Caenorhabditis elegans: one gene and its partners. The protein of the gene in region 1 interacts with the protein of each later gene in a pairwise test. Each region holds a gene or a part of one and is shown in the gene's direction. Other genes may lie near its edges.

Region 1 (7,172 bases):
TTTTTAGACTTATATATTTTCTGAAACTTGAATGTGGGCAGCTTTATACAACAGTGCCGGCCAATATTCTATTCACTTTCGGTTGTTCAAACACGTGTAACTCAAAAACTAAGATAGTTAGCAAAGTATTTTAAACTAAAAAACATGTTGCCGATTACTTGTTCTACATTTTTTTATTTTGAAAAAATTATACAACTCTGTTCCAAAAGAAAATTACAGCAACTGAAATCCGGCTGGTCCATTTTTGACTAGAATTTCTAATTGATTCACAATTTTAAAATTAGATATGTTCATGAAAGAAAGTTTAATGAAAAAAGAATCTCCACAAAGTTGTATACTTTTTGCAATTTGCTATTTTGTTACGAATAGACCAGGAAATGTTATACAAACGATAAAAAATAAAGCACAAAATTCGAAATTTTAAGCAAGTTCTGAAAATTGCGTTCAAATGTTTCACAGAGCAGTTTTTTCATCAAAAGCTTAAATAGTTGCAAAATGTATGAAATTGTTTGAACTCAGAATTTAATTTCAAAAAAAGTTTTGTTCGCATTATGAGAGAAAGCTGTCAATTCTGACCCTTCTAATGTAGGTTTAATCTTTTTATAAATGTTCCTGAGCACTTTGGAACAAAAAACAAATTGCAAAATGTAGACGCAATTGTGGATATTGTTTTAATATTAAATGTTGTTTCATGAAAAAATTCCTGTCAAAATACAAACGCGCCGAATTTCAGCACCTAGAACATTTTTCTGAACATAGTTATACAAATTTGGCAACTTTGAAAGTGTAGATAAAGTAACCGTAAACATTTTGTTAAATAAAAATAATTTGCTAACTGTTATAGTTTTTGAGCTACACATGTTCGAAGAGCTGAAGCAAATCACCGAAAACTTGGAAATGAATAGAATATTGGCCGGCACTGTATGTAATAAATTCGCATTCCTACCGTATTTTTGTTTCTTTCGTGACGTAGGAGGCTCTTAACATTCAAATCCCGGTCATGAAACTGCAATACAATTGTCTCTCAATTTACACAAAGTCGAATAAAAATATTTGGCAAATCTTACTGCCAAGACAAATTTTTAAACTTACAGTAACATACAATTTGTCATCCACAACAACATAAGTGTAACATTTCTGTTGATCCCTGGCTTGTTTCAAGACATAATCAACAGACTCCCGATACTTCCAGTAGAACCTATCCCAATCCTGCAAAATTAATCAACTTTTAAAGCCAACTACTAGAAACATTTGTTTTAAATAGATATCTGACTCGAAGCCAAGCAAAAAGACGGAAAGTGGGTTTCATCATATTAAAACTTATCAAAATGAAACCCACTTTGTTTGAAATAGCCCATTCAACGTCTTCGTAGAATTTACCAACGTATCCAGTATAATTTCGGTGAGGATTAAGTAGATACTTCAAACATTCCATAAAGTTATGAGCGCAATATGTGACCGTGTAGTTCTACAAAATGTTTAAACTCTTGTGATTCCACAGAATTTGCACAGAAGTAACAATAAATGAATCTTCTGGTGAACAAGACTTAAACTAACTGAAAACTTGAAGTTACCTTTGGTAAATCGACAGTTTTTAAATTCTCTGATAGTTTTTTGAATTGGGCACTGTAGAAGTTATAGAATTTTCTATATTTACTCTGAAAAATTAGAAATTGAGTTATCACTTAATTTTTTCCTACTTTTTGGGAGCATTCATTGAAGAGTTGTATCATTTCCGGTGTAATATAAAAACAAGCGAAATCCATTCTGGGAATTTCACGAATTTAACTTGTAAGCACTGCGGAAAGTTATCAAGAAACAAAATGTCAACTGAACTGATGTGCTGAAAGAAAAAAACCAAAGGTTAACTTATTGCTAGGCCTATGTTGAAAATCGATCACTGATAACAGTTTGTTTGTGGAAACATTTTGGAGTGAGGAATCGTTCAATATAGTTTGTAATCAACCTATAGGTTGCAGAAATTGTATGAGGAGTGTTTTTATTTGAAAAAAAGTTTGCCGTACATTCACTAAAGTAAAAAAAAACATGAATTTTGATTTGAGTTGTGCTTTTTTTTCAATTGAGAGACTTTTAAGTCTGTCGATTAAAAAACTAATAAGAAATTCGTAACTTAAAATGAGTGAAGATCGCATAATAATAATTTTCCAATAATTCCAATACAAGAAGTCAGCTATGATCTTACAAAGGCCAGAAGCAGGATGTGAAAATTTTTCAGTTTTAGCAATCGTACAAACAAATTGAATACTCTTTACTTTCTGAGCGGTTAAAAACTGATAACAGAATAATGTACTAGGAATAGATATTTCAGTTTAACATCACTATTAATTCCTTAGATGTGAAAACTCCTCGTTTGGTTTTTCTGCATAAACATCAAACTCTTATCAGTAACTTCCAACATAGACATACATAGCAATACTTTTCGAGTCACAGTTTTGTAATTGACATATTTTTTCTTGCTCATTAAATTCTATTAATTCGATTTCATAATGGAAATTCCATCTTTTCATATTACACCAGATATGAGAAACTTATTCAGTGAATGTGTTAAAGAAGTAAGGTAGTTTCCAAATTGATGACTTAATTCTTAACTTTTTCAGGGAAGTTATAAACTTTTCTACGACTTATACAAGAGTGAGTTCGAAGATCTAGCCGTACATTTGAAAACTGTCAGACTACCGGAGGTAACTCAGCTTTTACGGCGCAGTTGATAAAAAGTAACGTTCAAGGACACCGTACTCCACTACTGCGTAAGCAACTTCATGGAATGCGTGGAATATTTAATTCATACTGGCCGCGGATACAACTATTATGGTCACGTTTTTAGCTTTTACAGGGATGTTGACTGGGCAATTTTAAATGGAGTGAGTTTAAATTAATTTGATTTACATTTGAGCCACTTTCTTATAAAAATACACATTAAAGGTGGACTACACCCTGTGGGGAAATTGCTTTAAAACATGCCTTTGGGGTCACAATGACCGAATATCATGATGAAAAAATTTTAATAAAATTTCTAGGTTTTAAATGATTTTTTGAAAATTGAGAAAATCTCAGTTTTCCCCTAATTCCTATTTGAATTTCCGCCAATTGAATTCGTTCGATGGAGCGCGCTTGCATTATTTTCATAATTTTTTTATTTTATATTCATTATTTCACTGAATTTCTTTATTTTTTGGGGGTTTTTCATCGGAAAATGAAAGAAATAAACAAGAAAGAAGCAAAATGTTTATTTGAAAGTAATTGAAAATGCCTTAAACTCTGAAATTATGCGATCCGACGACGATGAGCCTGAAATTAATATTATTCAGAGTTTTAGGCATTTTTAGTTACTTTTTAATAAACATTTTGCATTTTTCTTGTTTATTTCTTTCACTTTCCGGTAAAAAATCCCCAAAAAATGAAGAAAATCAGTGAAATAATGAAAATAAATAAAAAAATAATGAAAATAATGCAAGCGCGCTCCATCGAACAAATTCAATTGGCGGAAATTCAAATAGGAATTAGGGGAAAACTGAGATTTTCTCAATTTTCAAAAAATCATATAAAATCTAGAAAAATTTTTTACATTTTTTATCATGATATTCGGCCATTGTGACCCCAAAGGCATTTTTTAAAGCAATTTCCCCACAGGGTGTATGTAGTCCACCATTAAATAATGTTTGACTTCAGGATTGGAGCAGATTTTACTGGAAATTTCGCGACTCCGTAGATTATGTTATAAAGAAAGCAAGAGAGCAACGGAAAATTCAAATTTATGTTGTTGAAGGAAGTGCACGTTATTCTTCTGTAAGTCATGCCTAGTTCCCAAAGATTGAACGTTTCTGACTTATTTCATTGCAGTTCCGTAGCCGTGATCGCAAAAATCCCAAAGAAAATTCTCCAGAAACTCGAGGTATGGTTTAATTTTTTTTAAGTCTAAAAAAAATTCAGCACAACCCTCTGATAATCTAAAACTAGACGTCTTAGTATCAGAAAACTCTGATTTAGTCCAAAAACCAGTCCTGGAAGATTTTGAGAAAAAATCGCAAGAGCGGGAAAATCGAAGACGAGAGCTTGAAGAGGAGCTGAGGAAACTGGATCTAGAGGAAAAAGAGCAACTGGCTATGATTTCAAACTTCAAAAGCCCGGAGCCGGAACTTCAACCAATTTCCCCGCCACCCTCAATACATGATGACCTTATAAATGACATGGATGGCGGAATGTTTGGTTAGCTCACACTTTTGAAAAAAACAACTTGTTTAAAAAAAAGTTTGTAGGTTCTGAAAAAACTGACGATTCAAGTTTGGAAGACTTGCAGCTTCATGTACAAGAAATGGACAAGAATACTATGTTAACAGGTTAGTTAAATTTTTTATTATGTATAAACATGTGTATGTACAGAAAATTTCGATCAAGATCAAGAAGAACTGAAACTTTTTGTGCAAGAACTAGAGCAAAACGCTGCTGAAACAATTAACAATTCCTCTCACCAACTCGAAAATGCTCTGAAAGCTGAAGAAAATATTGAAACTGAAATCTCTGAAGAAGAAGCTAGCGACGATGAAGAGGAAGACAATTTCCACACAATGCTCCAAGAACAAGCTGCACGTCACAAGGAAGAAATGGAAAAAGTCATGAAAAAACGGGCGGAGCAGAAGAAAAAGCTTGAGGAGCTAAACAGAAAAGTTAATGCAATAGTTTTTTACAAATAACTTAAGTTAGGTATTGTGTTCTTAAATCCTCACAATAAATCTCTCACTTACTATATATTTCGAAAACTTGCTTATTCATTGCGAATTTCAATTTTTCATAAGAAAATCTGGTTCATAGAACTTTTAACCTTTTAACCGATGTCATTCTAAACACTTTTGGTATTTCATTGACAGGTTCTGAAATTTGTTAAATAATTTTAAAACTTTTTGAAAAATTTCGAAAATTTTTTTTGGAATTCTCTGAAACTTTTTAGAATTTTTAGAATTTACTTTTTAAAATCTGTATTTTTCTGAAATTATTTAAACACTTTCTGAAATGGCTCTTTTTGTAGAGTTTTCAGACCTTTTCTGGAATTTTCTGAGCAAACTTCTAATATTTCATTGAGTGTCTATTAAAATTATTTAAACAATCGATTCATTGACAAAAAATAAAAAAATATGAACAGATATTCTGTATGAGGTGTCTAAATAAATTTTAAAAATCAAATTAAAACTTGAGTAGATATCGTGTATGAGGTTTCACAACCCTTCCATCTTTAAAACCCGTTGCAGATAACTGGTACAAGGATTATTTCTGAAAAATAAAGAAAATTATTGTATAAGTATGTACATATTTTTTCTCTAACTATGTACCTTGAAAACGCTTCGAATAGTTATTCAATTTCGCCTCCAGGTCCATCTACAAACAACATTCCTGAAAAAAAATTGGAAGTGAGAATTTTTTTCAAATTTAACGCTAATATTTGATTTTCCAAATTAAAAAAAGATAAAATCTTCAAAATTCCAAACAACCGATACAATTTTGGCCAAAACGAGTTTGAAAAGATTTTGAAGGGTAAATTTGGAAATTGTTTCAAGTTTTACTAAGCAACCAGGAAATTTTTCGCGTTATAGGGTTGATTTTTTTGGAAAAAAACTGATGTAAAATTAGCAGGTTCACATATATTTTCGCTGGATGTTGTTAATGAATTTGATGTGGAAATTGTGAATTTTTATCTATTTCAGCTCAATTTTTGGCGGGAATTCAAATTTCTGTCAAACAATTTTAGCGGAAATTTGAATTTCTTTATACAGCTGGTGTTATAGCCTCTCCGAATGTCTCGGGAGTAACTTCTGAAAAAAAAAGTTTTGGCGAGAATTCAAATTTCTGTCAAACAATTTTAGCGGGAATTTAAATTTTTTCTAGAACATTTCATTTCTATTTTAAACCATTTTCCTTTGAAAAAATCTTATAAAATAAGAATTTTTGTGGGAACACTACAATTTCTAATTCAAAATCTAATTTTTCCTCATTTTCAACTATCTAAAAATAATAACTCACCGTTTTCAAGAAAAATCCATAAAAATTAGAAAAAAATCAGCAGAAAATAAAGACCCTCACACAAAGAGTCATAGTAAATATTCGAAATGAGTCGATTGTGGTCTGAACGGTGAGGCTGGAGAGACGAGAGAGACGAGAGAAACAAGGAAATGAGAGAGACGTGGCAGACACGAGACACAGATTTTTCCAACGCGGCAAGAGTGAGGAAGGGAGGAGATAGTGTGTGGGAAGATGAGAGTCGATGGGAAAAAGTAACGGGAAGGCCGGTGGGATTTACAATGGGAAATTGGATGACAAATGTGCATGGGAAAATAGGAATTGTACAGTATTGTCTGGAATTTGTGGAAAATTCCAAAATTTGCCCAAGTCGTGTGAAACGTCGGAAGATATTTTTTAAAAGTTCTGAAATCTTTTGAAGATTTCTAATGTTTTTTTGAAAATGTCTGAAGTTTTTTGAAGTTTTCTGGAAAATTCTGACAAATTCCGAAGCTTTCTAAAATTTTCTAAAATTCAGGCAAAACTTTGATGAAACTTTTTGCAACTTACTGAAATTTTCTGAAATTCTCTTAAGTTTCCCAAAATTCTCAGAAACTTTTTTAAAACTTTCTGATTTTTTTTCTGAAATTTTCTGGAGCTTTCTGAAAATTTCTGAAATTCTAGGAAAGTTTTTGAATCTTTTTGCAACTTTCTGAAACTTTCTGACACCTTCTGAAGTTTTTTGAAACCTTCTGAAGCTTTGTAAAATTTCCTAAAACTCTCGGAAATTTTTTGAATCTTTTTGCAACTTTCTGAAACTTCCTAAAACTTTCTAGAGCTTTCTAAAATTTGCGGAAATTTTTTGAATCTTTTTGCAACTTTTTGAAACATTCTAGAACTTTCCCAAACATTCTAAAACGTTCTGGAGCTTTGTAAAATTTCCTAAAACTCTCGGAAATTTTTTGAATTATTTAATTTAATTTAATTTATTTACGCTCGCGAGGAGACGTGGAAAAAGTTGAAGAAAAAAGAAAAATGTACACATACAATAGATCATAAATACAATACACTGAAGAGGGATAGACACAATAAGAATAAATAGGAACGAAAGTTTGTTAACAGGACAGTTAGGTCAGGCGGGAGGAAATAATGTTATGTGGGTA
Region 2 (9,126 bases), on another chromosome or scaffold:
GTTGTTTTTTGAATGAGTTATTGGAAATTTCAAACAAAAAATGATGAGGGATAAACTAGATAGATTTGATGACGATGGAGGGCTTTGTTTTTGTTCATCGCAATCTCAAACAGTTTTTTTTCGGTTTGATTCTCAATATAATTTTGATGTAGTGACTAGAGAAGGTTGTACTCATACTCATTTTTGATATTTTAAAACATTTCTGCAAGATTTATTGAAGCATAACTTTAGCTTGCAAAAGACAAAAGATTTTTTTAATTGTATAAAACTTCCAAATTTTCTAACCATTCGAAACTTATGGAAAAATTCGAAATTTCTGGAAAAGTTCCAGTATTGAAAAGACCAGCCAAAAAATTAAAATATTTGAATTTTCAGATGGTTTCTGAATTAAAAAAAATTTTTGTCATTTATTAGGGATTTATAAATCATTTTGGCGTATTCTGCTATTTTAGAACTTCTTAATTTTTTTTTGAAAACCACTTAAAATTTTTCGAACCATGTTTTTGACCACATGATGTGTTTGGTGGGGAAAGGTTTTTTAATTCCGATACCTGAACCTACATTTTTGAAAATACCAGAAAAACGAAGTCCAGAGAAAAAACACATCTAGATGCATAGTACCAAATTAACTATGAATAAATATTCATCATCTTTTCTCTAATCACGGAGCCTCCAGAGAATTATACAAAACATTGAGAAATAACAAGCAAATCTGAGAGACCTAGACATTTGTGATCTTTCAACATTCAGCGACAAAACCGCGTCGAGGTCATCGACAAAATTCATAGAACAAGAGATTTCGACGCAAAAAGACAGAACTTGAAACTCCGCCCATTTAAAGGCGCAAACATGACCTCTTTGTCTCGGACAGTGTCTTTATCATTTCCGTTGCTATCCTCCTACCGTACTCCTACTTCCAAGTTCCGCCCATTATTTTGATTCTTATAAAAAGCTGCGATCAAACAATTGAACCACCAACCAACTTATTTTCTATAACTTGTCTGAAAATGGCCTCGATCCGACCAATGGAGCTCGAGAAGATGCCCTATACTGAAGAGGAGCCGCTCACTTGTGGTGGAAAAGTAAAGAGATGGTGCAAAAAATATCTTCTCGAAGGTAACTTTTTCAAACATTTTACAGTTTTTAAGGTAATAATTTCAGGTCAACATCTTGAAGAAGGTCAAGCTGATAAAATGGCAAATCTTCCTGAAAATCCAACATTTGGAGATCTGGTTTTCATAAAATACAGGAAATTCGTCGCAATGTTGATCCCATTCCTTCTGATTCATGTAATTTTTTGAATATTTTTATTATGAACGAAATTATTCAAAAATTCAATTTCAGACAATCTGGTGGTCTACTGCAATTCGTCATAATCTCTTCCAATTCTACAATGATTATTGGCACATGCCAGTTACCATGGCACTTGGATCTTTTGTTGGTGGAATGACTTCTGAAGGATCCGGAGCTGTGGCTTTCCCTGTAATGACTCTTGCTCTTCACATCAAACCGGAAATAGCAAGAGACTTTTCATTGATGATTCAATCGATTGGAATGACGTCAGCACTCGTCTGCGTGCTCTTTATGAAAGTGAAGTTCGAGCATCGTGCAGTTATAATTGGATGCCTTGGAGCTGTACCTGGATTTATTATTGGAGTTCATTATATTGATCCATTATTTAGTGGAGCTCAAAAGAAAATGCTCTTCGTTTCAATTTGGACAGCATTTGCATTTGCATTGGGAATTTTGAATGCTCAAAAGAAGAGATCAACATTCCGTGAAATTCCAGAATTCTGTGCATGGAAAGGATGGGTTCTGTTCTTTACTGGAATTATTGGAGGAATATTTGATGCATTTGCTGGATCAGGAATTGATATTTGCATCTTTTCAGTTATAACTCTCTTATTCCGTGTAACTGAAAAGACTGCAACTCCAACAACTGTTGTACTCAAGGGAGTTATTGCTGTTTTTGGATTCTACTACAGAGCTGTTATGATGGGAGATATTGATATTATGGCATGGAGATACTTTGCAGTTTCGATTCCAGTTTCTGCTGCAACAGGACCAATCGGATCATTCTTGGGATCACATCTTCATCGTCAAGTTGTGGCTGGATTTGTGTATGTTCTTGAGGCAATTGCTCTTGTTGGATTCCTCTGTACAAAGCCTGCATGGCAACTTATTGCAGTCGGAGGTTAGTAAAATGTATAAAATGTATCTTACTTAGTGCTTTGATATCTACATATTTCTATCAAATATTCACCGTAAGCTTCACAAAATATATTTTATTTTTCCAATTTTTTAGGTTGCATCATCCTTGGTGGATTTGTCTTCTTCTCGGCACTATCCAAAGCTGGATCTATTCTGATGAACCGTATTGAAATCCGCCAAGAAAAAGCTGCTCAAAAAGCTGGACTCACTTCTGGAACTTATTAAACATTTTATGTATTCCAATTGTTTTTCGTAACGGGTTCGCTTTGATAGTTTAAATCCTTATTTTGTTCAACCTCGCTCTTTTCTATGTGAAAATTTGTTGTGATCTCTTCAGTATCTAGTAATATAGTCTAAAATAAAGATTTAAAAAATTGTTTTGACTTTAACTTTTCAATTGAAAAGTTTTAAGAGAAACGTTTGCAAAGCCCATGATTTTTCTAATAAAATTTTTTAACAAAACGTTTGTCAAAAGAAGTTATTTTTTCCTTCGAATAAAACTAATGTACCATCTAAAAAATTATTGTGATAATACAAAATTATAGATTTAATTATAAATTACAAAAAATGGATGAACACATCACTTGAGTGCCTGTCATTCATGTAAGACTTAATATAAATTTTCAATTGAAAATAATGAAGAATGGTGTGATGCCTTCTTACTTACTTTATTTTAATGATATATTTTATACAACTTTTTCTCAACAACACCCTAGTTATTCATTTTTCAGTATTTGATCTGGCCACTCATTTAATCTCTGTTCATCCTCCAGCCAGTAATCTGCCTCTGAACTAAAAAACGTCATGAACATGAGAAGTTTGAGAACTTGTGCACTCAACAAATTTTGTTTCGTTGGAAACATTTTCAGTTTCATTTTTTCAAACTATTCTGAATGTTTTATACTTTCAAGTAAACTTTTGTCATTTATGAGAAAACATTTTTAATCTAATTTGTCAGATAAGAAGTTTTGGTTTCCCAATTTTTTCATAAATTGTTTTTTTTAATTATTGATTTTATGAATTTGAATCAGAAAAAGAAATCAAACTAAAGGCTTTAACCCTAACTTTTTTTCAGATAAATGGGCAAAGTCGTCAAAAAATCATGTGGAAGTGGAGTCAAAAATTGGTGCAAAAAGTATATGTTAGACGGTTAGCACATCTTGTTTTTTTTCTTTTTTTTTTAATTGAAAAATATTTTAATTTTAATTCTTTAGGTCAAACACTTGAAAACGATCAAGCAGAAAAAGTCATCAATCCACCTGAAAATCCATCAACTTATGATATTCTATTTATCAAATATCGCAACTTTACAGCTATGCTAATACCCATGATTTTTATACATGTGAGTTTTTTAAAATAAACTTTCTTCAAAAATTTAATATAATTAAAAATAAAATATTTAGATGATTTGGTGGTCTATTGCATTTCGATATGATTTATTTCAATATTACTCCGAGTTTTGGCATATGCCAGTTGTAATGATACTTGGCTCAACGATTGGTGGAATGACGTCAGAAGGAGCCGGTGCGGTGGCATTTCCTGTTATGACATTGGGACTACATATTGATCCAGATATTGCAAGAGATTTTGCATTGATGATGGGTGGGTAAATATTCAAAGAATCTTATTTTGAAGCTCAATTCCAGGGTAAGCCTGGTATTCCTGGTATTCCAACTTGAATTTTATATAAAATAGAAAAAAATTATTCCATTTTGTCTAAATTTGAAACTGAATTTTAACGAAAAAACATTGACACACCTGCGGGCACAGGTTGTTTTGTAGAATTGCCATAATTAATTTCCGCTCATCTTCTGGGTTTCGAAGCGATCAAAAAGTCTCTTAGTTTCAGTAAAAATGTTCATTTTGCTTCTGTAAATGCAGAAATTTGTTTTGTTTCCGAAAATCTAAAAAGCAAGATGGGTATTGGAAAATGACGAAAAAAAAATTCATGGAAGAAAAATGTATTGAACATAAGAAGAGTTTTGAAGAAAGATCTATTTTCAATTTGCCATCCGCTCGGTCACATTTTCTTTTGTTCCACCTGGTGTTCCATTAAGTCCTTCGCCAGTTGTCGGTGTCATTGGATTGTGAGGCTGACTGAAAAGTGTCAATTATATTTTTAATTATTCAGCTTGACCTACCGGTACTGCCATTCGTAAGGCTCGCTTTCCTTGAGATCCGCTGGATTGCACTCTTCAATCAATGCGAGCAGCTTCTCATAATCCGGAATACTGTGATAGTTCAGAGACTCGATGTACTCTGCAGCTTTCGTCATGAGTGGTTTCTTGATGCACAGCTTCTCTCCAATATGGGCTTGCTTCAACTTGATGCAGTTTTCCTCGGATTTCTCGTACGACCATGGAAGACATCCATCTCCACATTCAATCTGAAATATTTTAATTATTTTTTTGAAAATACATTGATATGCTTACAGTTGTGTAGAGGAATGAAACCAAGTCGTTTTTGGGGCCGAGGTCCTGACGTGCATGAGCATCCAAACTCATGTAGCGCATTGTACCACGAAGGCCAAGTCCGGGACGGGGGTTTCGGACGGTTCCACACTTGTCAAGGTATTGGCGTGTCAGAACTGAAACATAAACATAAGTTGTAATTCATCATTGCTCCGTAGGGACGCGGGCGAGCAGGTGCAACATGGAGGAGCGCTTCTTTTAAGGTTTGAAAGTTTGCTCTTCCCCCTAGATGCTCGCATTTTCAATTTAAAAAACCATACCGTAATCAATCAAGTAGATACGAGTACAATCCGTTGCACCAATACAACAATTGGGTGGCTTTATGTCCCGATGCAAGAATTCTGCCCGATGGACCAACGCGAGAGCCTTCAGAACTTGGGCCATTGCACGGTAAAGAGTCCGATCCGTGATTCGTTTGTGTGGAAGAGCTCTTCGAACATCTCTTGTTCTTGTGATGCGTGTTCCACTTTGACGGCGCAGTCTTCTTTACGAACTTTATCCCAAGCTCTGAAAATGTTCCAGGTTAGTAAATAAGAAAATTAGATTTCAGATTGTTTTTTAATGTTATAGCTTCCAAAAACGTTTTGAACGTTAAGCTAAAACGACAGTAGACGAAAAGTAGACTAGGTGAAAGAAAGCTCACAAAACTTAAACTCTCCTGTAGCAAGACGAGTTCAAAAATATTTGTTTAAAGTAGAACTAACCTGTAGATCTGGGCGAATCCTCCGCCGCCAATAATCCCCTCAACTTCGAATCTTCCCGAAATCACCGATCCTTCCGCCATATAGTTGATGTTCTTCATTTGATTGTGGACAGCTCCGGCAATTTTCTGGTTCTCCTTCTTTTCATCCTCTTTCCCTTTGCTCTTCTCTTCCTTCTTCTCGTCTTTCTTCTTACTTTCATCGGCCTTTTTTTCTTCTTTTTCCTTCTTTTCCACGTCCTTTCTCTCGCACGACATTCCTTTTCTTCTTACTTCTTAACTGCTGCCGCTTTTTAAATTTTATAAATTCAAAATAATTGAATATACATTTCCACCTCCCCCTCCCTTCCCCCCCCCTCCGTTCGCTATTTAATTTTTACTAAAATGTCACGTTTGAATAATAAATAAATTTATTGAGGAATTCAACTTTTAAAATCAAAATGCAAAAATCAAAAGACGTGAAAAATTACTGAATAAAATTCTGTGAAACAGAAAAAACTGACACCGGGTAGTGCCAGACCTAAATACAGTAGTTGCTAATTTGCAATTTTACTACAGAATTGCTATCCTCTAAGCCTTCAAAGTGGCCTACGCCTGCTGGTAAGGCAGGCATGAGGCAGGCACGTAAGTCTGAAAAGTTACCTGACATGGAAGCTTAGGAAAATTTTTCTGTCGGTTTCTTGAATATAAAACTCCCAAAAAATAAAAAGGTTCCAACTTTATATTATCAAAAAATTGCTAGATCGTTCAAAAATAAATCTTTAATTTCAGGAATGACGTCAGCACTCGTCTGCGTGCTCTTTATGAAAGTGAAGTTCGAGCATCGTGCAGTTATAATTGGATGCCTTGGAGCAGTACCTGGATTTATTATTGGTGTTCATTATATTGATCCATTATTCAGTGGAGCTCAAAAGAAAATGCTCTTCGTTTCAATTTGGACAGCATTTGCATTTGCATTGGGAATTTTGAATGCTCAAAAGAAGAGATCAACATTCCGTGAAATTCCAGAATTCTGTGCATGGAAAGGATGGGTTCTGTTCTTTACTGGAATTATTGGAGGAATATTTGATGCATTTGCTGGATCAGGAATTGATATTTGCATCTTTTCAGTTATAACTCTCTTATTCCGTGTAACTGAAAAGACTGCAACTCCAACAACTGTTGTACTCAAGGGAGTTATTGCTGTTTTTGGATTCTACTACAGAGCTGTTATGATGGGAGATATTGATATTATGGCATGGAGATATTTTTCCGTTACTGTGCCAATTTCTGCATGTGGAGGTCCTATTGGATCATTCATTGGATCAAATTTACATCGTCAGTTGGTTGCTTCGTTTGTTTATATTTTAGAGACTTTTGCACTGGTTGGATTTTTACTCACTAATCCTGGTTTGGATTTGATAGTTGTCGGTGGTAAGTGTTTTCATAAAATATTAATCACTAAAAACTTGTGGGTTTTTCTGTTTGAAAAATATACAAAGAGGATTTTAAAAAATCAATGAAAACCTTTGTAAAAAATCTTAGATGTGTATCCTATATAGGCGGAAAGGATTAGCGTTTTTTTTTTCAAACTAGTTTTATAATCAAAAAAGGTCTAAACGTACTTGAATTAGTCTAAAATTTTAGTATGTTGTAAAAGAAATACGTTTTATACAGCAAAGAAAATACTATCGAAGAATCGGATCTATTACAGCTCTCATCATTATCGGAGGTTTCGTTTTCTTTTTCTTTGTGTCAAAGGCGGGAGCTTCACTTATGCAGACGGTAATTGAAAATGAGAAACAAAAACAACTGGAGAAAGCTCAAATCTGAATAATAGAATTTCATTTATGTAACGAATGTTTAGTATCTTCTCTGTCTTCTTTTTCTGCCCCTCATGACCACCTGCTTGTTTGCTTGTTTCCATGGTTACCTGCTTGAGATGCAAAGCGAAATATATCGACTTTTACCTCTTTATTCTTCTTTTTTATTTTGCTTTTGAATATTATGAAGCTTCGAAAATTATTTTAATTGATAATAAAATTGAATTTTACATTACAATTGTCTCTCCCTTTTATTTTCTATCATTATTTCCTTTTCTTCTCTGACCACGAGCAAGGTGACAGTTTTATTACCAGACGACGCAAAAATTGGAAATTTATGGATTTCGGTACCTTTTCCTTATTAATCCCTCTAACGCAGGATTAGTTGCCAAATCGACAGGCGGAAACTGTCAAAAAGGGAAGAGTATTGCGTAATTTAAGGAAGGAAGCAGGTCGCTATGGGAATTATTTTGAGTTAGGAAGGAAAGTTAGGATCAAGAAACTTGGACATATTTCGAGTCTTTAATTGTCAGCTAATACCGACTGTCTTTGGTTTTATTAAAATTTTGTCAACTAACAAAACTAACAAAATATTTGTCATGAAACAGTTTTTCTGTCTGCAGAATAACCTGAAAGCCAGCGTGTCAATGTGTAGTAGACGAGTGCAGGACATATTTACAAAATTATCCGACAATTTTTTAAAGTGCTTTTTTCTGCACGATATTCTAGATGTTACTGTTATTAATAAATTTTAAAAATGTAGAAAATTATTTTATTGATTTGAAAATTATGTTCATATTTGTTGATAAATTTGGAAACAACCTCAAGTACATACTGCAAGATAAAATTCAGTTAAAAAAAAGAGTAGTTTGTTAAACATAAAACTGGATAGTTCAAAAGTAATTATCAAAAAGGTTTTCAAAACTATTCTTATAAAACTATATTTTTTCTTCCACTGAACATCTTTTTCTTACACTTTAAGCTTCCAAGACTAAATTAACGTTTTTAATTTATCACCCAATTCTTATCAAATGATCCTAATTAAAAAAAAAACGGTTTAAAAATATATCCTAGTATGTCCCCCAACCATCTGTCAGATTATTGATACTTCATTTCTTTTTCAATCCTTTTTGAACTCTTGCCGAAAAGGTCATTATGACATTCTGTCACTTATTGACACCCAAAATCGATTAATCATCTAGAAAATACTTTGAAATTAAGATCTAAAAAGATCAATGGGCTTCTTTTCGTCATTGTCCAGTTTATTCGGATTGGGAAAAAAGGATGTGAACATCGTTGTAGTTGGACTGGATAACTCGGGAAAGACTACAATTTTGAATCAACTCAAAACTCCAGAGACAAGAAGTCAGCAGATTGTGCCAACTGTTGGACACGTGGTTACGAATTTCAGTACTCAAAATCTCAGTTTTCATGCATTCGATATGGCAGGACAAAGTATGTGAGACACGCTTGAATTTCAAATTTTATATTGAAATTGTAGAATCTTTCGGTCAGTAATTTATAAAACTTTTTCGGCGTAGGGCTCGAAACGGTCATTGCAATTTTATAGTTTCAAGTTCAAAAATTCCACTAATCGATTGATAAACTTGAACAACTAAAGTCGTTTTCCTGAACTGATGAAATATGTGTTAACAAAATGTAGATTTGGAAGTAGGCACGCGTGTAGGCATGCGGTAGGTATGATTATTTTTCGCGCCTTTGTAGAAACGTACAATATAATTTATCGGAGTTTTTGCCAGATTTGGCTGAAGTTGGAAATCTTTTCAGTATTTTTTTTTGTTTCGAAAGTTGTAACTACAAACTGGAAACATTTTCAAAACCACTCTTTGTTTTTTAATTATTAATTTCAGTGAAATATCGTAGTACATGGGAAAGCTACTTTCACTCTTCTCAGGGTGTCATTTTTGTACTCGATAGCTCT
Region 3 (6,095 bases), about 14 Mb from region 1:
GTTGAAAAGATTGCTAGAATTTTAAAATTTAAAATTGCATACCAATAGTTTGGATTTCTGATCAGTGACTTCTTTTTTGATAAACATACACGAATAGCATTTTCCAAAGTTGTCCTCAACACAATCCTTACAAAAACTGGATTGACACTTTACTTCAGCGCAATAGAACAGTTTCCTTGCATAAGTCTTCTCTTGGCATAAAAAACATTTTGCTGTCTTGAAAATTCTTTCGAAGACGTGTTGTTTCAGAAAAGAGCCTCCAGCCGAAAATTCTCTGGAATTCAAAACTCATACGATAAACACTTTGCAAATTCAGAATACCCTTTTCGCAGCGTCTCGATTCTTCTTCGATCCACCATAAAACGAATCCGTGCTCTTGCTTCTTTTCTATGCTTCTCACGGTTAACCAGACACTGAAAAAGTTGTGTGTTATCGCGAAAATGATGATTTTATGAACTTTGTTATAAAATTGAATGAGTCGAACTTTTGATCGCATTGGGAACATGAAGGGGAGAAAGTAGTTGAGCACAATTCTACGAATTGCAAATGAAAACACAACCTGAAAGGAACAAGTGAGTTTATAAGACACTATGTCTCATGTTGTTTCAATTACACAATCAAATTCAAATTTCAAAGAGGGCGAGTGAAATTACGAGTGAGAGGCACCCGATTATGCCTCAATAGGTGGAACGGCTATAGTCATTCAAAAAGTGTAATTTTTTGAAAAGCTCCAAAGATTTTGTACCTGAAACAAAAATGACAACAACAGTGGAATCACCAGCCAGTAGATCAGAATATCCGTATTCGGTGCCAATGGCTTCAGCAAACAATGCTCATTGGAAAGCGTCTGAAAATATCAATAGGTTATCAAATTTTCCTTCTCGCCAACCTGATCAACTTCCAGTGTTTCATTAGTCGATGTCATTGTCTTGAGAAAATCTGCGAGAACTCCTTCACCAGTAATATTGAGTCCAGCGGGAGCACTCGCTTTCTGCTTAACCTGTTGTCTAGCCGACTCGACAACCTAAAGATAGATATTGTTACGCAGTTAAATGTCTAATTTTAGCATACCGAATCAAGGAAAACAAACAAATAATAGTCGAGAATAATAATGACAGACACGGTAAGAGCTAGAATAAACCATCGGAAAAATGGACGAACTGCTTTTGATCTTTCTGCTTTTGTTGGTAAACTGGAAAATATTTTGAGTAAATTATATTGTTTGTTTTAGACAATCACCTAAATACTTCCATTACTCGCCACTCACGTTTCTCTTGCTTTGAAAAATGCGATAAGTGAGTTTGTCCTCGAGCTTGTCGAAATCTATCAATCATCCAAAACTCTCTGAAAATCAAGTCATTTGAGAACCCAATTGTAAATTGAATTAATAACTTTGTAACAAAAGAATTGGAAAATGCGACGTCCTCCTGATACTTCCGGATCATCCCGACAGAATCGCGAAAAATGGTATAGACAAAGTATATAAAGAATGCTTGAAAGATTTGCTTTGAAACTCCAACAATACTCTGAAAACGGAATTCATAGCAGTAATAAAATAAAATGAAATACCTTGAAATAAAGATTAGCAGCTCGAATTTTGATTTTCAAATCCGAAAGTCTATATTCAATGGCTACTCGTGGCGTTTCAACCCTAACAGAATGCAATTCAATATTACTGTTTTGTTCCAGTTCCTCTGTCAATTTCATCACATCAGTAACATCTTTTTCGATAGATGGATCCACGTGACTTTCCTCCAGCTGATTTCTGCAAATATTCATGGACTGAACCCTTCTTTCGACTGCCTGAAAATTTGTGATTAGGCAGTTGAATTATTGGGAAAAATTTACATCGCAGACGCCTTCGACGTTTAATTTGGGACAGATGAATGCTTCAATAGGCCAAATAATTGCATCTTTACACGAAGACTGAAAATAAATATCATATCGAAACATCACCGAGAGAGAGAGAAAAATATTAGAGTTAGGGTTCTTACGAGAAAGTTTCTTTTCTCGAAAGTTCATTTAATTTTTTTTCTAAAAACGAACAGAACGGTAAAATGGATAATTTTGAGAAAAGAAACGATTATCTTGAAATAAGATAACTATATTGTGTAACGTTTCATACCACAAGCTCCGCAGCAAGATTTCTGCACTTATCGATTCCCTTATTAAACATCTGTTCACAGTTTCTAGACATCTTATCTGCCATTTTTTGAATAAGCTGAAATGTTCTCCAATAAATCCTTTTCAGTTTCACTTGCACCCACCGGTGTCTTAAATTTCTTCCAGACTGGAGGCTCTCCAATGGTAACATTGTCTATAAGATCTTCAGCAGGTAACAGCTCCCCGGCAATCTGATCTTCCTCTGTAAGCGATCGATTCATGGACTTCTCCCACATCTTCAAGATTCGTTGTTTCCGTTTTTCGATATCTTCCAATTGTCCTCTTTCAATTTCAATTTTCTTGTCTATTTTAGTCTTCTCAGTTTTTAGAAGTTCCATAAAAGGTGTTATCAGAGCTCTAGTCTCTCGAGAAACTGCTTTCATTGCTCGAATTCCTTTTGCTGAAATAACTTTTTGTTCAAAGAGGTTATTAGTTAACAATATAGTTACCCATCAACTTTTCGATCAACTCCTCCAATGGCCCTGTTAATAAAGCTACACGATTTGCAGTGATCTTGGATTGTAACTCAATATGACACATCACAATCTCAGACGTTGTTTCATAGTTTGACATCATATTTGAAATTGGTCCCTCTTGGAGGTTGCTCATAACTAACATAGTGAACGGATCTAGAAATAAGTTATTCTAGTCATTCCGCAAATAAATTATCAAAGCTTTACATTGTCCTTGTTTGCCAAACGCGCCAATTAATACACAAAACAGAGCACATCGAAAAATCTGGAAAATTTTAACTTATTTCATAAATTAGAGGTTTTTCAAACCGGGCTCACTGCAAAGGCATAAGTGGAGAAAGCAACAATAGTCCATTTAACGATCAGCCCATAAGTATAGTCAAAATCTCCAAAGTTCAAGTTTTTCCAGCCAGCATGATAAAGGGAGGAGGAAATCAAGAGGCCGAACAGAAAGTTCACGAGAAGCCGGAGGCGGTAATAATCACTCACTTCGCTGAAATTATCAGTAAGAATTGTTTCCTTAACGTTTTCTTACCTTCTAACCAAATAGTCTGTCAGAAAACCTATATTTTCTCGTCTTCGAACTTCATCCCGTTTTTTATCATCGAAAAATCCCATCTGAAAACTTCGAAATAATTGATTTCCACGCAATCATTGTCCATTTCCCTGTGTTTTTGACTTGAAACGTAAGAAGACATCACGTACAATTACGCGTGGAGACGTTTCCATGGAGTTTTTGGTTTGTTTAAAAACAATGGGGATTTTTCAATAACAAAAGAAACTATCGTTAAATATTCTTCAGTGGTTCTATTTGAAACTCATATTCCCGCTTTTCCACAAGCTTCTTCACTTATTTCGTTGTTATTTTTTCCTAATCCCCTTGGAAAACAACTTTTTTTAAAAATGACTGATAAAGTGTGCGGGTGTAATGTTGTAACATCTGCTGGAGTTGTAACCAGTCTTCAGGTAATTTGGCTATTCAACTAACGGAAATCAAAAACATTCGCAATTTTCAGCTCATTGTTCTTGTGCTGACCCTTTCAAGTACTGGTCTTATTCTTGATCGTTATCGAACATGGCAGACTGTGTATCCCAGAACTCCTTATAATGCAACAGCACAGGCAGCTGCGGTAAATCTTAGAATAAATTGTCATTTGATTACTGTATTAATTTCAGAATGGTACTCTAAAATTCAACGCAACCATCTGGAGTGAGTCTTGGGTAGAGCTCGGCATGGCTTGGTATGTCGGATTCGGATCATTTTGGCTTTTTTCAATTCTCATCCTTGTCTTGTCATTCAAATATTATCGTCCTGTGTTTGTGGTGCCAAACTTCACGGCTCTCGTCGTCGGAATATTCATGAATCTTCTGGCATTTGGAGTTCTTCTCGCGCGGATATTGGTTGTTTCAAAGGATTATAGGACTGATGAGTATGAGGAAACAATCATTATTTATGTGATGGGACTGTGCCTTTTTGCATGTATATGCTGTCTTCTCTTCATCATATTCATTTCTAAATATCACACTTTTCTCCGGAATCGTTACGGTCATCAAGTTCCAAAAGTAAACCTATCTATTAGAAAATTTAGAAATAATAATAATGGATTTTCAGTTCATACAATCTCGTGCGAGGACAGGGTATCATGATGAAGCGTATTAATTGTGTGATTTTTTTCAACATTTGCAGGAATTCATAAATTTCTTTGAACATGTGACATTTTAATCTTTCATAAATAAAACGAGAAAAAAAAAACCTTATCAGCACTGCTCAACAATAATCCCGAATCATCACACATTTTCAACGAGGGGTTTATTTTACCGATACACACAGATTAATGACATACACAATGATAATTTACAGACATGCAAACTGAAACTTTCTGTTTCAATACATCAGACTTTCTTAGAAGTGACCATTTTGTACTGGTCGATCGCTGTGTTTTCTTTGCTTTGCATATGAGTTAGTTTTTCGTAAATGATCTTTCCGTCGCTGAGTGGGATGAGAGAAGTTGGTCGGCCCCATACAATATCACTGTTACCAATGAGATCGTCGGCTAAAAAATAAAAACTAAGCACGATAGAAAAATGAAACGAAAAGAAAAAATTATAATAAAAAATTATAACAAACCTTTACTCCAAGTACTGAAAATGTAAGAGGCTTCCTTTTTGTTCGAGTTGTTCATATCATTGAGAAGGTTCGAGTATTTGGAAATTCCATTGCAGGGAGTAGATGAATAACCACAGAATGATGATGTATAGCCTCCACACGAATCTCCAGGCCAAAAGCCATTCTTTTTGTTGCAAGTGGGAGCAAACAAGCCGACTGTTCCTGCGCATCCACAAAGACCATAGTTAGCACCAGCAATTCCAACGAACACATCAACTTTGCCACTGATTGATACTCCCAAATTGCAGTTTCCATCAGTCCCATTCACAATTCCACCTTGTATAACCTTTCTTCCAAGAGTCACTCCCATACTGTGACTGATCACCGATACTTTAGCATATCCTGTGTATGCTAGAACAGCTTCAAAGAATTTTCGTAGACGAGTCAGATCTTTGCAATCATGTGTTCTTGTTTCAGCTTTTAGAGAATTTGTATCCTGCCAAGATGTGGCATATAATTCCGCAGAAGTAAATCCTTGAGTTGAAAAGTATGAAATGGTGTTGTCCCAACCTGTGGCCATTGATGATGTTTTAAGTGCACTGTCAGAGTTTCCATGAATAAATATTACAGGAGTTTTACTTGCTTTAGTGATGGTTTTAGTAAAACCACCATAACTTCCTTTGACTCCATAATCGCTTCGAACGAAATCATAGCTGTCATAACCATTACTGAAATTTAACTCTTTTTCAGACACAAATAGGATTTGAACTCACATTTTCAGCCAATTCTGAAAATCTGTAGTCAATGGTCCGTTGACGCCTGATGCTGCTTGACAGCTGATTACAAGAAAAGCGAAAAGTGAGAAGAGCATGATGGAATGATTGAAGAGCACGGCATCGGCTTTGCTTTTTATAGGGTCACACCTCATCGGCGTGTGTTATGAACTGCGTCCTGCACACTGATAACTGACGTTGTGTAGGCGAGAAGCTGATTTACGCAAATTGAGTATCAGATGAAGACCGTATCCGAGGAAGAAAGATAAAACTAATAATCAAACATGTGTAGGTTTATGTGATATCATTACTATGCGATGTTTTATTAGGTAGGAGTAGAAGACATCGATGTTTGAGCATCTATAGGAGTGCAGTCTGTCCCTCATTAGTACCGCGTGAATTGGTTGCAAATAAAATTGTGACGGTCAAAATGTTTTCAAACAGTTGGTCTTGGTTTATATGTACATACCGTATTTTCTTTTTTGATCTCTATTTTACCTTCGTTTCTACTGGAGTTATACTTAGGGCTTTCATGGGAGGCAGGCGCGGTTTCAGGGCCTGACGACTGGCTTCAACCTG

Evidence for each region. Proteins that work in one complex are often made in the same cells at the same time.
Region 2: the proteins of K02E2.7 (region 1) and F26A1.7 interact in a two-hybrid assay, tested with the Caenorhabditis elegans proteins (one large-scale study listed by BioGRID).
Region 3: the proteins of K02E2.7 (region 1) and K12B6.4 interact in a two-hybrid assay, tested with the Caenorhabditis elegans proteins (one large-scale study listed by BioGRID).

Annotation. Positions count from the first base shown.
Region 1 is NC_003283.11:20,382,309-20,389,480, reverse strand, and holds K02E2.7 (Cilia- and flagella-associated protein 251-like), read left to right. Parts: upstream 1-2,438; 5' UTR 2,439-2,507; coding exon 2,508-2,573; intron 2,574-2,618; coding exon 2,619-2,702; intron 2,703-2,747; coding exon 2,748-2,882; intron 2,883-3,690; coding exon 3,691-3,807; intron 3,808-3,861; coding exon 3,862-3,913; intron 3,914-4,008; coding exon 4,009-4,227; intron 4,228-4,277; coding exon 4,278-4,358; intron 4,359-4,401; coding exon 4,402-4,712; 3' UTR 4,713-4,751; downstream 4,752-7,172. Other genes in the region: F53H2.1 (SH2 domain-containing protein), read right to left, coding at 1-20, 947-1,006, 1,093-1,209, 1,340-1,468, 1,575-1,658, 1,701-1,766; K02E2.11 (Phosphatidate cytidylyltransferase), read right to left, coding at 5,249-5,286, 5,346-5,391.
Region 2 is NC_003281.10:4,814,108-4,823,233, reverse strand, and holds F26A1.7 (Membrane transporter protein), read left to right. Parts: upstream 1-3,290; coding exon 3,291-3,360; intron 3,361-3,425; coding exon 3,426-3,553; intron 3,554-3,614; coding exon 3,615-3,813; intron 3,814-4,151; exon of another isoform or gene 4,152-4,211; coding exon of another isoform or gene 4,212-4,308; intron 4,309-4,352; coding exon of another isoform or gene 4,353-4,597; intron 4,598-4,643; coding exon of another isoform or gene 4,644-4,798; intron 4,799-4,942; coding exon of another isoform or gene 4,943-5,066; exon of another isoform or gene 5,067-5,189; intron 5,190-5,386; exon of another isoform or gene 5,387-5,694; intron 5,695-5,843; exon of another isoform or gene 5,844-5,993; coding exon of another isoform or gene 5,994-6,006; intron 6,007-6,153; coding exon 6,154-6,795; intron 6,796-7,075; coding exon 7,076-7,194; 3' UTR 7,195-7,414; downstream 7,415-9,126. Other genes in the region: F26A1.8 (Membrane transporter protein), read left to right, coding at 1,008-1,116, 1,162-1,289, 1,345-2,194, 2,306-2,436; F26A1.4 (non-specific serine/threonine protein kinase), read right to left, coding at 4,212-4,308, 4,353-4,597, 4,644-4,798, 4,943-5,066; arl-6 (ADP-ribosylation factor-like protein 6), read left to right, coding at 8,420-8,639, 9,056-9,126.
Region 3 is NC_003283.11:6,278,581-6,284,675, reverse strand, and holds K12B6.4 (Conserved plasma membrane protein), read left to right. Parts: upstream 1-3,400; 5' UTR 3,401-3,539; coding exon 3,540-3,602; intron 3,603-3,652; coding exon 3,653-3,766; intron 3,767-3,812; coding exon 3,813-4,199; intron 4,200-4,248; coding exon 4,249-4,296; 3' UTR 4,297-4,383; downstream 4,384-6,095. Other genes in the region: spe-49 (Dendritic cell-specific transmembrane protein-like domain-containing protein), read right to left, coding at 43-274, 322-413, 458-559, 746-847, 890-1,024, 1,072-1,192, 1,240-1,344, 1,393-1,526 and 8 more; fil-2 (Lipase), read right to left, coding at 4,530-4,690, 4,765-5,471, 5,517-5,614.